Caenorhabditis elegans: one gene and its partners. The protein of the gene in region 1 purifies or fractionates together with the protein of each later gene. This does not show direct contact. Each region holds a gene or a part of one and is shown in the gene's direction. Other genes may lie near its edges.

What was found. Proteins that work in one complex are often made in the same cells at the same time.
Region 2: the proteins of smrd-1 (region 1) and rpa-1 fractionate together in Caenorhabditis elegans (co-fractionation; one large-scale study listed by BioGRID). This does not show direct contact.
Region 3: the proteins of smrd-1 (region 1) and C16A3.6 fractionate together in Caenorhabditis elegans (co-fractionation; one large-scale study listed by BioGRID). This does not show direct contact.

What each region holds. Positions count from the first base shown.
Region 1 is NC_003281.10:10,432,441-10,438,221, reverse strand, and holds the start of smrd-1 (SWI/SNF-related matrix-associated actin-dependent regulator of chromatin subfamily A containing DEAD/H box 1 homolog), read left to right. Parts: upstream 1-2,233; 5' UTR 2,234-2,238; coding exon 2,239-2,361; intron 2,362-2,405; coding exon 2,406-2,466; intron 2,467-2,523; coding exon 2,524-2,686; intron 2,687-2,741; coding exon 2,742-2,807; intron 2,808-3,062; coding exon 3,063-3,474; intron 3,475-4,426; coding exon 4,427-5,080; intron 5,081-5,745; exon of another isoform or gene 5,746-5,781. Other genes in the region: H04D03.6 (MLX-interacting protein), read left to right, coding at 1-31; enu-3.1 (ENhancer of Uncoordination), read right to left, coding at 664-876, 991-1,332, 1,391-1,450.
Region 2 is NC_003280.10:7,662,539-7,668,246, forward strand, and holds rpa-1 (putative replication factor A 73 kDa subunit), read left to right. Parts: upstream 1-2,043; 5' UTR 2,044-2,053; coding exon 2,054-2,137; intron 2,138-2,189; coding exon 2,190-2,243; intron 2,244-2,291; coding exon 2,292-2,373; intron 2,374-2,417; coding exon 2,418-2,523; intron 2,524-2,565; coding exon 2,566-2,810; intron 2,811-2,852; coding exon 2,853-3,154; intron 3,155-3,206; coding exon 3,207-3,302; intron 3,303-3,351; coding exon 3,352-4,236; intron 4,237-4,281; coding exon 4,282-4,395; 3' UTR 4,396-4,572; downstream 4,573-5,708. Other genes in the region: F18A1.7 (Chondroitin proteoglycan 4 domain-containing protein), read right to left, coding at 271-382, 433-700, 749-1,051, 1,099-1,216; lir-2 (C2H2-type domain-containing protein), read left to right, coding at 5,468-5,512. UniProt on the Caenorhabditis elegans protein: As part of the heterotrimeric replication protein A complex (RPA/RP-A), binds and stabilizes single-stranded DNA intermediates, that form during DNA replication or upon DNA stress.
Region 3 is NC_003281.10:6,377,263-6,381,805, forward strand, and holds C16A3.6 (Protein MAK16 homolog), read left to right. Parts: upstream 1-2,186; 5' UTR 2,187-2,199; coding exon 2,200-2,588; intron 2,589-2,640; coding exon 2,641-2,763; intron 2,764-2,812; coding exon 2,813-3,272; 3' UTR 3,273-3,407; downstream 3,408-4,543. Other genes in the region: nfx-1 (Transcriptional repressor NF-X1 homolog), read left to right, coding at 1-939, 990-1,340, 1,397-1,747; C16A3.5 (NADH dehydrogenase [ubiquinone] 1 beta subcomplex subunit 9), read left to right, coding at 3,529-3,579, 3,691-4,131; znf-622 (C2H2-type domain-containing protein), read left to right, coding at 4,384-4,543.

The sequences.
Region 1 (5,781 bases):
TGACAGTCTCTTGTTTCCAAGAAACTCATAAATTATTTGATCTCCGCTGTTTCTTTTTTTTTCGAAAATCCGATTTATATAGTTTGAACATTATCTTTATATAATGGATAGTACAACAAAAATCTCTTTAGAAATATATATAAAAAATATGTTAGAAACACTGAGAAGCTCATGGTGCATCGAAAAAACCTTCAAAACGACGAAAATTCAGGAGAATAACTCATGGTGCATCGACTAACAAATTTTTCGGCCAAAAAAATCTGATAAAATATGATGGCAAACAGACTTCCTAGAAACACCTGAATTAAAAAATATAACACCTGAAGTAAAAAATGAGTGCGCCTTTAAGAGCTACAGTAACCCACTAAATCACTAAATCCACTAAATCATTCAACTGAAAGTTCCTTGATGTCGAAAGAGAAACAAAATTTGACAAAAAAAATTATTGTCAGAGAAAAGTAATAAAAGTGAAATTGTGTGGGGAAATAAATACGGACGGGGAGTTTGAAAAATGAATGGGACTATACGAGGTCATAAATAATACAATTGTGGGGAACGATGAGCATAGAAAAGGGGAAATGGGGCTCCATAGAAAAATAAAGGACCTAAAAACGGGGGAAAATCAAAAGTAAGTTGAGAGGCGGTCGGGGGCTCAGAAGAACTTCAATCGCGTGGCTTGTCCACAGTGACGACCGCTTCCGGCGCCTCATCCTCGTGCTGCTGATCGTCTTGTTCTTCTCGCTTCCGGTCCTTAGAGACACCAATTCGCAAACGACACAGCATCTCCTCATCCTCGTGCTGCTTTTCGTCTTGTTCTTCTCGCTTCCTAGCCGCCATCTGCTCAGCGATGAGCTCTTCAAAATACTTCTTCTGCTCCTGAAAAGAAGGTTTCGTATGTTGAAAGTTGTCCACGTGGAGTACGCAATTCGCTTTTCATTAAATATAACTTAAATCAATAAAAAGCTAGGCCACTGGCAAAATTTCACTTACCCTCGCCTTCTGATCCTCGAGGTAGAAATACAAAAAAATGTGGAAAATGACGAAGGCGATCAGGATGCCACATCCGATGTACTTCGGCGTGTCCTTGTGAAAACTGATCGTGCGTGACGGGCAGTGTGTGCCGTTTCCATTTTTGCAGGTTTCAGGGCTCGCCGAGCTCACAAGAGCAAGCTGCGTCGTATTGGCGGAAAGAGCGGTCACGTTTACATTTTTCGTCGAATTACCGGCAGGAGCGGTCGCATTAGGACTTTTTGTCGAATTGCCGGCAGGAGCGGTCACGTTTGAAGTGTTCGTAGCGGCGGAAACAGGCACATTTGGTGTGGTGGTTGTTGGCTGAAAAATGGTGAAACATTATGGTCTAGAAAAATCGAAGGATGTCTAAAAAACTCACTAATACATGAACTATTAATCCGAAGATTACCAATGAAAACAAAATACGCAAAATACGCATTTTTGTGTGACGCGTGTGTCGGAGAGAAACCGATTTCACAAACTAATTTAAGTTATAATTTGTTTATTTCAATCGCTACGTGTGCCACGTGGCCACGCGTGAGTAGGGGCAGGGACTATTTCGCAACCACCGCACACTTTTTTCGCAAGCCTCGCACGTTTTTTCCATGATATTTCCACGAAAAGGGGAGCAGAACGAAAAGGGGATCTGCAAAAAGGGGATCTGCGAAAAGGGGAGATACGAAAAGGGGAGATACGAAAAGGGGAGCAACGAAAAGGGGATCTGGCACTGTGCCAAACGCTATTTTTCTCGAAGAAAACGATACAACGATGCTCCGATGTTACGCGTCGCGTGTTGTTAAGCGTATCTTCTAGAAGAAAATTTCAAAAATCAACGTGCGCTGCGTGAGAAAAATTGCGTTTTGTGCGTTTCCCCTTTTCGTTGCTCCCCTTTTCGCAGATCCCCTTTTTGCAGATCCCCTTTTCGTTCTGCTCCCCTTTTCGTGGGGCCTCGGAAAAAATGCAATTTATATTAAATTAAATTTAAATTCTGCTTGCGGTGTTTGCGTACCGCCGAATTTGTCGTAAGGTTCGGTGTTTGCGTACCACTGCATTTTAATTTCGTCTACTGTGGCGGCATAGGATTTATTCGAAATTCCCTCATTTTTCATTGATTTTTTTGGGTTTTCTTTGAAATTTCCTTTTATTTATCAATTTCCCCAGCTATTTATCATAATTTCCCTCTTATCCACCATTAATTTCCCCTAAAAATCCCAAATTCTAGGATCAATGTCAACGACGAGCGATTTTCAAACCGGAGAACGGGTGCGTGTTGCACATCAAGGCAACCCACAATCCTCTAGCTTACAAGCCGATATGGACGCCAAAAAGGCGCTTTTGTCTCAAAATCTGGTAAATTTTCCGAATTTATAGCCTAAAAACCGATATTTTTGCAGAATAACGGCCACTTGACAGCTAGGCCTCCAAGGACAACCGGTCCCGGAATCAAATACGGTGGTACGTGGATTTTCATGATTTTAAAGAGGAATTCATTGTTATTTTCCTATTTTTCAGAGAAAAAACCAAAAAAGCAGAAGGGCAGCGACGATGACGATGAGGATTACGTGGATGAGACGATGCCTAGTGAAGATGAAGAAGATTTCGATAATAATGAAGAAGACGAGGATGATGATGATTATGAAGAAGAAGGTCCAAGAAAGCGTAAAGCTCCGTCAAAGTAGGCGTGATCGATTTTTGGCGGGAAAATTGAGATAAAATTGATTTTTTTCCAGGAAGAAATTGGTATATCCTCGAGAAAACTACCGACGCGAGGATTCTGAGACACCCGAGCCAGAGATGTAAGAGCGGAATTTGCGATATTTTTCCACCTAAAATAAACAAAAGAACAAGCCAGCCGCTGAAAATTTGGAAAAAACTGGTTTTTACATTTTAGGGTTTTTTAACGAAAAAAATAAACTGAATTGATAAGAACTCTCCGAATTTTCACTGAAAAATTGAACTTTTGACTTTACAGAAATTCAAAAATGTCTCAAAAACGAATTTTCGATTAAATTTTATGCTGAAAATGAAAAAAAATGCAAAAATTATTTCAGGAAACGAATCCGAACACTATCGGATTCCAGTGACGATGAATGGATGACAAAACCACGGCTAAATGGTTCAGAATCTCCAATTGGAAATGTAATGAGAACTCAAATGGCAAAAAGATCGGCCGCCTCGAAGAGAAAAATTGTAATTGACGATGAAAGTGAAGATGATTTTATCAATGATGAAGAAATATCAGAGAAAGGATCAGGAAAAGGATCAGAAAAAGAGGAATCAGAAGGATCTGGAAAGGATTCAGAGACTGAAGAGGTTACAATGAAACAGGGACAAAGTCTGAAAGCGGCAATGGCAAAGGCTCAAAAGGAACAGAAAAAGAAAGCAGAATCTGATGAAGATTGGGAAGAAGATGAAGATGATATGAATGCAGATGGTGATGAGACACCTTCTGATGACAGTGATGTATGTAGAAATCGCTAAAAATATCGTGAAAAATGGCAATATTCGAACGATTTTGCTCGAAAAAAACTATCGAAAATTTCATAGAAATTCGATTTTTTTGCCAGAAAAAATATGAAAATAGCAATTTTTGAATTATTTAGACTGAAATTAACGGAGATCTATAGAAATAAAATTGTAGAACCTTATGATGACAACGATCTAAGCAGAAATTGCTCAAAAATTCAATTTTTTCGTTTTTTATTGAAAAAACGCAAAAAAAATCAGGAAAATTCGATTTTTCTCGAGCTAGGAGTTTTTTAAACTTGAAAATCAGAGAAAATTTCATTTTTTCGAAGTATTTAGCTCGGAATTAACGAAATTTTCAAAAAAAAAACAAATTATTTTCGAGCCAAAAAATATATTTCGAAGAATAATTACATTTTTCAAGAAAAAATCATAAAAATCAGAGGAAATTCCATTTTTTGAAGAATTTAGTTCAAAACTAACAAAAATTTCCTAGAAATTTGATTTTCCAAGAGCTAGAAAATGGGAAATTCCGAAGAATTATGCACGTAGCTGGAAATTGGTCAAAAGTTCCATTTTTCATGTTATTTTAAATCAAAAATACTTTTAGAAAAATTAGAAAACTCCAATTTTTGCAGAATTTAGCTCAAAACTAGCGGAAATTTCTGGAAAATTAGTTTTTTTAAAGCTAGAAAATTGGAAATTCCGAAGAATTTTTGAAAGTTTGTTCTAAAATTGATTCACCAAAATTTCAAGACTATGAACAATTTACTTTTTTTCCGAGAAAAGTTGAGAGTTGAAAAATTTGAAAACATCGATTTCTCACTATTCAATTTTACAAAAAACTTCAAAATTTAGAGAAAATTGAATAGAAATTTCGTTATTTAAAATATTCATTCGCAAATTTGAATATCTTGCGTAAATTGATCAATTTTTCGAATATTTCCAGATAGAGGAGCGTCGCGCGAAACGTGGTGAAACAAAAAACCAAAAAGAATGTCGAGAATTCTTTAATAAAGCAAAAAAAGAGGATCTCCTTCAACAGGCTCGAATCAACGATAAAATCGCAGATTTCGTTCTCGCAAATCGCCCATTCGAGATCTACGGAGCTATGGTTGCCAAGATGAAAGGAGTTACACGTGGTACAAATGCAATTGAAGCTTATATGGAATTTCTGGAAAAACGTGGAATTTTATCGAGAATTTTGGATGATTGTAAAGATCACGCACATACAGTAACCAAAGATTTTGAAAGATGTACAGAAGGACCTCTACAACTTCCGCTACTCAAAGAAGGATGTACACTTCATGATTATCAACTTATCGGTGTTAAATGGCTTATTATGATGTATAATAAGGATTTAAATGCAATTCTCGGAGACGAAATGGGTCTTGGAAAGACTATTCAAATTGTTGCATTCCTTTCATATTTGAAACAAATCGGAAAAACTGGACCTCATTTGATTGTTGTACCATCATCGACTATTGAGAATTGGATTGGAGAATTTCATAAATGGTGTCCGAGTATCCAATTGCTCACGTATTATGGAAGTCAGGATGAGAGAAAACATTTGAGGCATCGGGTTAAGAAACAAAAGGATCATGTGCGTTTTTTAAAAATCTGAGCTTTTTTTTCCAGAAAAAATGGGATATTTTTTTGGGGTTTTTAGGCTTAAAAAACAATTTTTCGGTGTTTTAGAGGTTTTTAGATTTTTTAAATTCCTATTTTTTGTGGCTGTTTATAGAAATTTTTGAACCCAATTTTTCTAGAAAAATCGAGCATTTTTCGTTTTTTTTTAAACATGAAATCCCGTTTTTCGTGATTTTTAGGAATTTTTTAATGAAAGAAATTTTTTAAAATTAATCTTCTGAAAAAAAGCCAAATTTTTGAAGCTCTGATCAAAAAATAGGAGAAATTCAATGAAAACTGGCCAATTATGAAAATGTAGAAAGTTTTTTTTATTTTAAAAAATTGGAATATTTTTCGGTGCTTTTCGAGGCTTTTGAAAAAACTTTTATTGTCGGTTTTAGGGTTTTTTAAAAATGTTTTTTCGGTGTTTTATGAGTTTAAAATTTAAATTCCTATTTTCTGGGTGTTTTTAGGAATTTTAAAAATCAAATTTTTCCAGAAAAATTGAGAATTTTTCGTTGTTTTTAGGAATTCTTTTTATGAAGAAAAAATTCTAATTAATATTTAGAATAAAATGATAACTTTTTGAAGATCTAACCAAAAAATAACAGAAATCCAATGAAAACTGACTAATTATGAAAATGTAGGAAGTAGCGAATACGAGTTGCCACGTGT
Region 2 (5,708 bases), on another chromosome or scaffold:
AAAATGCGATTATTGATCGATGAATTGAACTTGTCAGCTGTTTTGTCGACCACGCGGCCGAAATTCAGATATTTCGGCCATTTCAGCTTCGATAGTTGTACAAAATGTCACGAGAATTTTTTTCGGCTTTCATCCGCGTTTGAGAAAATGATTATTGAAAGCGGTTTACAGTTTACAACTATTTATTCGATATATCAACATATTTGTGTCGGGTGATTATTTACAATTCGTGGGTTTTAGTGAGTACTGGAATCATGAAATGAGATGCGATCAAATGTTATCCATGTTAAAAGCCTTGAAATCGCCGTTGCGAATGCGGTTGAGACGAGTTGGGTTAATTGCAAAACGGCATCTTTTATCGATTTTCTTACTGATGACATCCCTGAAATGTTTAGTTACATAGCATATTTAATAATGATCGCACTAACTAACCTCAATGCTGGTGACAATTGATCAACCATTACAGAAACGGCATCGAATGGTTGCATAAGCATGTCCAGACTAAGCCATCCACTCAAGGCACACTTGCTGTTGAGTCGCTTGGTGACACATGGGAGAGTACATTGCAGAGAGTTACAAAGTTCTCCAAGATGATCAGCAACAATAAATACATTACCTCCAACTGTAGCAGCGAATTTAATGTTAGAATCTTGAGCGAAAGCAGTTAGGTTTGAACGAGCATAGCATTCTTTGTCGCAGCCTGAAAACGATTTTTTGATGGTGGGCAATTTTTCAGAAAAAAAATTACCTGACATGATATCATCAACGACAGGGTTGAGACACGACTCCATTCGCTCAAACAGAACGTGCTTTGTGGCACACATATATTCAACACTGCTGCTGGCTTTTGCGAAGAGCTTGTTGTGATCACAGTACTGTTCTTTCTTCAGACAAGTGATAGCCTGTGCATGATGACCACAGACTTTGCGAGCTTGATGTACAACATTCTTCATGTTCCACAGAGACGTCGTAGAATTGATGAACGGGTCGATGCACTTTCGCATGCAATATGGAACTCCAAGAGCGCGGAAAATTGTGTCGACGTCGAGGGCTGAAGTGAAACTTTAATCTTAAGCACACAATAATCTAGTTTTTTACCTTGTTCTTCGTGTGGCACGACATCTTTGTCGTCGTGTACCGATTCGATGGCACCATTTACACACGAGAAGAACAGAAAGATGGCGGGAAGGAAGAAGGCGAGATGGAGATGGCGCATCTGGAATTATGTAGAAGTTTTTTTTCCGAAATGGGGGTTAGATATTAAGCAGTTTGAAAGTGGTCTAAAAGCTTTCGAAAACTTTTATAAGCTTTCAAGAAGGTCATATAAGGAAAAGAACAGCTAGGTAGAAATGAAGTGGGTAACTGATATAGCCGAAACTTTACATAATTTATAAAATGAAAATTTATCAAAACTGACAAATGAAAATAAAACAAAATCCGAATTCTTTATGCGACTTTTCTGATTTCAAAATTTAGCGCGTCAATAGAAAAGTTAGATCGGCGGGAAAAAACAATTTCCAAACTACGGTTTTGATGGAGGTCTCGAAGCGAATACCGTACCCGGCAAGATTTACGCAGGTGGTCCGAGCCATTCATTTTTTTCTTTTTCAAATGTGAATTGCTTTGTTGAGAACCTGCAGAAAATCTTCATGTTTGGACGAAGTATTGACTTTTAGAATGTTTTTGTTCAGTATTTTAACCCTCTTCCAATATTGCGCTGCCATAATTTCGATTCATGCGATTTTGGCCGATGTAAAACCTTCATCAAAATTTCAACAATTATTATTGTAATCTTTAAAACTTCTCAATTCCTTTTTTTAATATTTATTTGTTTTCTCATATTTTAATTCAAGTTGTGCTCGATTTTCTTTGACTAACAGAAATTCCCGCTTTTCGGCACACATTTCCCGCAAACATCACATTCTACGCCATTTTTTTTGGCGCGTATCCGGCCTGTAGAGAATTCAAAATTGAATCGTCTCCCCTTCATTTGTTTCTTCATGTTTCAAGCTTTTTTCCCCAATTTTTATGTATCTGTTTCAGATAGTGAAAGATGGCGGCAATTCACATCAATCACGATGTCTTCAATAAGTATCATACTAACGGGAAACTTCGACTTACAACAGGCTATGTTCAGGTAAAGAAATCAATGTAGAAAACCAGGAAATTTAATTTTGATGAATTTTCAGGAGGCTATCGAAAACAATGGATATCCTGGACATGATGGAATCGTTCAAGTTTTGGTACTTTTGACTAATTCAAAAGTTTCGCAATAATTCGATAATTTTCAGAAAGGCAAAGTAGAGCAAGGAGAGCAACTTGGTCACGCATTCACTTTCAGAATTCGTATCTCAGACGGTGTTTTCCAATACAGTAAGTGAGTTTGTTATACTCTGATATTTATTTATGCTTTGAAGATGCGCTCATGTCCGCTGATATCGATGACCAAATCAAACGTGAAGTTGAGCATCTTGTTGAGGGAACAATTATCGCTCTTACTAAATTTGAAATCTACGACCAAGGGTGAGATTATAACATTATTGAGTCCTTCAATGTATTTTTCAGAGAAGGTGCTAAGAATTGCTTCCTGATCAAAGGATACAAAATTCTTTCTCGCTATCATCAGGTTTTGACCTCTCCAGAAGTCAAGCCAAGATCTCATTCTGGCAAACCTGATGAGCACAAAGGCTATAGACCAAATATTATCATCGAAGATGTTTGGCCTGAAGCTGAAGGAATGGCTGCTGATTACCAGGAGAATATGGCAAATCCACCAGCAGCAAAAGCGCCGAAAAGAGAATTCGGAGAAGGTAAAATCTAAGAGTTGTAATGTGTGTAATTCGAGTTTTCAGAAGCCTCATACAATCGTGCCGCTGCTCCAGAGGCTACACGCGCTCGAGCTGTTCCACCACCAGCACGCCGTACCGCGTCGAACACAGAAAGAGGCGTGATGCCTATTGCAATGGTTACACCGTACGTATCGAATTTCAAAATTCACGGAATGGTATCACGCAAGGAGGAAATTCGTACTTTCCCAGCGAAAAACACGAAAGTGTTCAACTTTGAAATAACCGATTCAAACGGAGATACAATCAGATGTACCGCATTCAACGAGGTTGCTGAGTCCTTGTACACCACAATCACCGAGAATCTTGTTAGTATTATTTTAATCGGATTATGCATAATAATTAATTTAATATTTTCAGTCTTATTATTTGTCTGGTGGATCAGTCAAACAAGCAAATAAGAAGTTCAACAATACTGGACACGACTACGAGATCACACTTCGCAGCGATTCTATCGTTAGTAAATTTAAAGCGATTCATCATAGCTAAAATATTAAATTTTCAGATTGAAGCTGGAGGTGAATTGCTTGCTGCTCCAAAGCTCATACTCAAACGAGTGAAGCTAGGTGAAATCGCTGGATATGCTGGACAACTGATTGACGTTCTCGTCGTGGTTGAAAAGATGGATCCAGAGGCTACCGAATTCACTTCAAAGGCTGGAAAATCTCTGATCAAGCGAGAAATGGAGTTGATTGACGAGTCTGGAGCACTTGTTCGATTGACACTTTGGGGAGACGAAGCAACAAAAGCACTTGTTGATGACTATGTTCAAAAAGTAATCGCATTCAAAGGTGTTATTCCAAGAGAGTTTAATGGAGGATTCTCTTTGGGAACTGGGTCAGCAACTCGTATTATTTCGGTGCCAGAAATCGCTGGAGTGTCTGAACTCTATGATTGGTACGCAAACGTGAAACCAACCACTGAAGTTAAGATGATGAGCCAAGCTGCTGGAGGATCCAATGAAGCTCCACGTACTATTGCAGGACTCCAAGAAATGCAATTTGGAAAGGATTCCGACAAGGGAGATTACGCAACTGTCAAAGCAATGATTACCAGAGTAAATCCTACGAATGCTCTTTATAGAGGATGCGCTTCAGAGGGTTGCCAAAAGAAACTTGTGGGAGAAAATGGTGACTACAGATGCGAAAAGTGCAATAAGAACATGAACAAGTTCAAGTGGCTGTACATGATGCAGTTTGAACTTTCGGACGAAACCGGACAGGTCTATGTCACAGCTTTCGGAGATAGTGCTGCGAAGATTGTTGGAAAATCAGCTGCGGAGCTTGGAGAATTGCACGATGAAAGCCCAGATGAGTACAACGCTATTTTCGAACGCCTTCAGTTTGTTCCAAAGATGTGGAGACTTCGTTGCAAGATGGATTCGTACAATGTAGCTTTATTTCTTGAAGATCCGTTATGATTGTTTTCTTTATAGGAAGAAGTTCGTCAGAAGATGACTGTCTATGGTGTGGATGATGTCAATCAGGACAAGTACATCGAAAATCTGAAGCAAATGATCGAGCAGATGCAACAAATGAGTGACTACTAAATGTTCTGTTTTTTATTACATCGTGCCGATCTCGACTGTTTCATTTAAATCTAAAAAAACCTAAATATTATTAAAACCTTTTTTGAGCCTAAAGTTATCACATGTCTCACATCCACAATCGCTGATTTTGTACAATGTTTTTCATCTCATTTACTAGCGAATAAACTATACGATGTGAGCCTATCTTTGAGTGCCAGGTGACCTCGAGATGTGTTCTGAAGTGACAGCATTGGGTCGTTGCAGCGTCCTTGAGAGCGGGTGACTGCCCGACAACAAATGGCCTTGGGTTGCCACATTTATCCTACGTCTCTCTGCCCACGACCACATTTTCCATTGCTAACCCGCAGGTTCGTGGGCAGCCAGCGAGCTCTTTGAGCTCTCTTCGTCTATTTCTCTCTAACGCTGTCTTTTTTTTTGTCTTATTTTCCATGAAAGACATTGGCGGATTAGTGGAAAAGACTAGTGACTTTCATTTACAGAAACGTCTTTTATCACCTGTTTTGATTTTCCAAAAAAATAAATTCCGTAATGATTTTATTATGTTTCCAAACAGTTGCAATTTGAACACTCCTTTCAAATTGTTCGTCCAAACTAAGCCGTGCTGAAAGAAAATTTCCGTCTTATATTTTGAGTGTAGCTTTTCTGTTGCAGTTGTTAAGATTTGTCGATGCAATTTAGGGTTATGCAGCTGACCTTATGGAGTGTCTGGGAGAGCACACACAAATGCGTTCCCAACAGAAGGTGTTCTCCGTGTCTATTCCCAATAAAGGTCATCTCCATATGCTCATCCCGTTTCTTTTCACCTAATACGTTTATTCGCAACCTTTTCTAGTTATCTTCAAAAAAAAAAGGTTCACGAATTGTTTTCCTCAATTTAGAGTTTAGTGGTGTCACAGTATCCCATCTCGGTTTTTTATTTGAAAATTGTGGGAATTTAATTCGAATTTGCTACCCAGGAAAAATGTCTGGAAATTCCCGGATTAAGCTGGAATGGGACACTCTGACACCACCCGTCTCCCATTTTATTTTCAATTTCTAAAAGTAAAATAGCATTTTCAGATCAGTGACAGTCATGTTGGCAGCTAATGGCCCCCGAACTGCGAAAATCAGCCGAGATGTAAGTTTGGTTTGAATTAGCGCCAAGTGCAATATTCCAATGGAGCACAGTTGTTGATGGTCACTGTACCTTTGAAACGGCGTTTTGCGGTTTTCGAAACTCCCCGATGATTGGCGTTGACTATCTTAAACAAAATGAAACAAGATTAATAAATTTATGTGTCTTTTGTATTCTTTAAACGTTTTTCGTCTTTAAA
Region 3 (4,543 bases), 4.1 Mb from region 1:
TGCTGTATTCAAGATGAACATTTTTGTCTGCAAATGTGCAACAAACGACTTTCTTGCGGAATTCACACATGTGAGAATGTATGTCACGCTGGACAATGCCGTCCGTGTCTGCAAGCCAGTTTTGATGAGCAATTTTGTCATTGTGGTCACACAGTTCGAATGCCTCCGATTCCATGTGGAGCTCGTCTACCAGTGTGCTCCCAACCATGTGTCCGTCCACACAGTTGTGATCATTCTGTCTCTCATAAGTGCCATGGTGAACAAAACTGTCCTCCATGCACACAGCTCACCGAAAAAATGTGTTATGGTGGACATAGAGTTCGCAAAAATATACCGTGTCATATCGACTCAGTTTCATGTGGCGTGGTTTGCAAAAAACCCCTCAAATGTGGAGTTCATGTGTGCCAAAGAACATGTCACGGTGAAGAATGTGAGAAAGAAGGGGAGAAATGCACGAAAAAATGTGAAACCATCCGAGAGCTTTGCGAACATCCTTGCGCACTTCCATGTCACGAAGATTCTCCGTGTGAGCCAAGCCCATGCAAAGCAAGTGTGAGAATTTCTTGTGAATGTGGACGAATTAAAAAGGACGCACCATGCTGTGAAGTTGATAAAATGATTCTATCAAAACTCGAAAAGGAAGAAGAAGAAAAATCTGAATCGGATGGTGAAGAGAAAGTGGTCAAAGAAGGAATTCTCAAGCGCTCAACAAGTTTTTCTCAACTTAACTGCATGAAATGTGATGACGAATGCAAGAAATTGGAAAGAAATCGAAAAGTTGCTGAAGCTCTTGAAGTTGATACAGATGAATATGGAATGAACAAACTCGCTCCAACTATTTCCTTCCCTTGTTATCTGAAAGAGATGGTTAGAACCAACATTGATTTCGTCAAATCTGTTGAAAAGATTCTCATTGATCTGGTTATTCAAATTCTAAGTGTAAGCTACCATTTGTTTAAAATTGTGGGCATACATATAGTTTTTTACAGGGTGAAGCCTACCACGACACTTTTCGAGCTCACCTGCCAGCAATGAGTATTGAGAAGAGAAGATTCGTGCATGAATACGCCAACTTTTTCAATATCGCCTCAGAAAGTGTAGACAGTCCACCAAAAAGAAGTATCGTTCTCACAGCAGTACGAGGAAAATCTCATCAGCCTCTCGTTCTCATTAGTGATCTTGTAAACTACAAAGGAGCTCTAAAGACGCCAGGACCTGCTGTTATTAGAAAAGATATAATGGATCAAGCTTTGAGTAAAAAAGAAGAAACAGAAGGTCTCATGAAACCATTAAGATGTACGGAAAAAATGGTAGTTCGGAGAGAAGCTCGTCCAATGAAGGTAAATATATAATTTTTGTCTGGCATTGTTCAGATTTCAATATTTTTATTTTCCAGGAAATAACTGCCCCAATCCCATTGAAACAACAAAACCAATTTGCTCTTTTGGGGAGCGATGTCGATTCGGACGATGAAGAAAGTAACGTTCCGACAACAAGTAATTTAGTATCTTCACCTCCAAAAGATTGGTGGAAAGACGAGGAAGAAGGGTGGCAAAAAGTGCAACAAAAAGAGTATGTTGTTGAAGTCGAACGCGATATGACCGAAGATGAGATTGAGGCGGCGAAAAAACTGGATGAAGGTCCCACATGGGAAGATCAATGTGACGAAGATGCACCAGCAACAGAAACCAGTTCAGCTATTGAATCTCCAGCGAAAGAGGAGCCGGTTGCTGAATTACTAGAATAAAACGTATTAGATTTTTTACATGCACTATCACATCAATTTTCGATGTTACTATTCATATCCTCAATTGTACGGTGTAACAGTTTGTTTCAAGTACATTTCCATTGTTTTGAATACTTTAAAATACGGTTTGCTTGTTTTAACTAATGAATAAATATTCTCTGGTGTTTATATTATTTTAATTGCGTTCCTGTGGCCCAGTTATTTCCTGTGAAAATATTTGTTTGAGACTTTAAATTTTAATTGAAAGATGAAAATAGAGAGAAGGCGCCTTAAGGCACGCGGGACTGACAAAGTGTGCAAACACCGCCACGCGAAGACGCACACTTTCGGTTCTTTCACAATTTTTTTGCCCGTTCTTCTCAATCAATTCTTGCTTCTTTTTCCTTTTATCGAAGTAATTCTCGTGTGAAAAACAACTCAAAAAATTCGAATTTTTCAGAAACTGGGTAAAAATGCAGTGCGACGATGTGACTTGGAACATTCTCAACAAGGGACAATGCGCCTACAAAGCGTGGACAAAGCCAAAAATGTTCTGTAAAAATGAAATGAATTTGACTGGTTTGTGCAACAGAGCTTCGTGTCCATTGGCTAACTCACAGTATGCAACAGTTCGTGAGGAGAACGGAGTATGTTACTTGTACGCAAAAGTTGTCGAACGATCTCACTATCCACGTCGTTTATGGGAAAAGACAAAGTTGTCAAAGGATATGAACAAAGCATTGGAACAAATCAGTGATCAACTTCTTCATTGGAGTGAATATGTTAGACACAAGTGCAAAGCTCGTCTCATCCGAATTCATCAATATTTGATCAGAATGCGTAAAATGGCAGTCCGTGGAAAGTAAGTTTAAACTTATAGAAACTGAATTTTGCATAGTATTATTTATTTTCAGCCAGAAGAAACTCATTCCAATTGGACGGAAAGTGGAAAGACGTGAGAAACGTCGTGAAGAGAAGGCACTTGTTGCAGCTAAACTTGATCACGCTATTGAGAAAGAGCTCTTAGCCAGACTTAAGTGAGTTGATATATTAGAAAGTGCACATTTTGAATGAAACAACTTTTAGACAAGGAACATATGGCGATGTTTACAACTTCCGTCAAGAGGCATTCGAACAAATGCTGGAAAACACTGAAAAAGAGTTGGAAGTGGAGCAAGAACTCGAGCAGGACGACGCAGACACGGGTGAGACTCAGTTCGTCGCTGACTTTGATAGTTCCGACGATGAGGATCAGGACATGGAAGACGGAGGTGATGGACATTGGTCACCAGGAGATACTGACAGTGAGAACGAGGATAATTGGCAGCCAGAACAAGAACAAGAGGATTCGGATGAAGATGATGAGGAAGGAGGTGATGAGCCAATGGAAATTGAGGAGCCACCAAAGAAGAAGGTAAAGAAGGAGCCGAAGAAAAAGACTGGGAAGAAAGCTGCTGATGGAAAGAAGAAGAAGCTCAAGAAACGAGCTCATGTTGAGATTGAATACGAAGAAGAAACGGAGCCACGACAAAGGGTCAAGGCATAAAACTTCGCATTCCATTTTGTCTGTTATCGTTATTTTTGTTCTTTTCTTTTATTCGCCCTCTTCCAATTGTGTTGTTGTTATTTGCTTTTTAATTTTTAACTCTTTTACCCAAAAATTCAAATGAAAATTGTTACTTTTCCTTGTTTACTAAAAATTAAACTGATTGGTTTTTTTTCCAATTTTATTTTATTGTTCCAATCACATATTTTTGTACTCTATAAAACCCATTGTTTTCAGAGAAGACCGGGAGGAAGCCATGGATTCGCCGGCGTGGATGTTCACGAAGGCGCTGAGCCATAGACAGAAGGTAATTTTTATTTTTGAAAAGCTTTAGTCGTTTGTGAAATTGGTAGCGTTGTTTTTTAATCTGATTGGAGATTTCGTCTGTTTAAAATGTAGCGAATTATTGCATTTTCAGGTCACCCGCCTCTACAAACGCTGTCTTCGCGAAGTTGACAACTGGTATGGAGGAAACAATCTGGAAGTTCGCTTCCAAAAGTGTATTATCCGTGCTCGATTCGACGCTAACGCTGATGAGGTTGACACCCGTAAGAGCCAGATCCTTCTTGCCGACGGATGCCGTCAATTGTGGGAGAAACGTCATTTCAAGCCTTTCCGTTTTGCTCTCGATCCAGGAGGTTCCAGTTATGATCGTGAACGCGAGTCGCCGGATGAGATTGTCGATTCGGATCAATGGACATTGGCTGAACGTGAACAGTTCCCCTACTACTTCAATACTCGTGAGCAGAGAAAGAAGGAGTTGCTGACTCACTGGGCCAAAATCGAAAAAGCTTGGGATGAGGAGATCGCGTCAATTCAAACCCAACTACCAGCTGCTGCCCCAACTGTTTCCAAATAGGCCACTATGAGGAAGTAATGCGATTGATTTTAAGTAGAACGAGCTCACTCGTAGACCGAATAATTTTGTTTTGTTTTTTATGAATTTAACGTCACTGAACAAATAAATATAGCTGTATTTTCATTGTATATTATCATTTATTATTCATCTGTTTAAATGGTTATTGCTGACCATTTGCATATTTTTTCCAATTTATTTAAATTTCTTCTTGTAAGCTTTAAATTAAACATTTTATTACAGAGATCTATCAGAATGGATGGATCTACAGGGTTCACATGTGTAACATGCCGTGTCGTCTTCGAGACAGCCGAGCTGCAGAGAGATCATTACAAAACCGAATGGCATCGGTACAATCTGAAAAGACAAGCTGCTGAGCTTCCAGCTATAGGAATTGAGCTTTTCAATGAGAAAG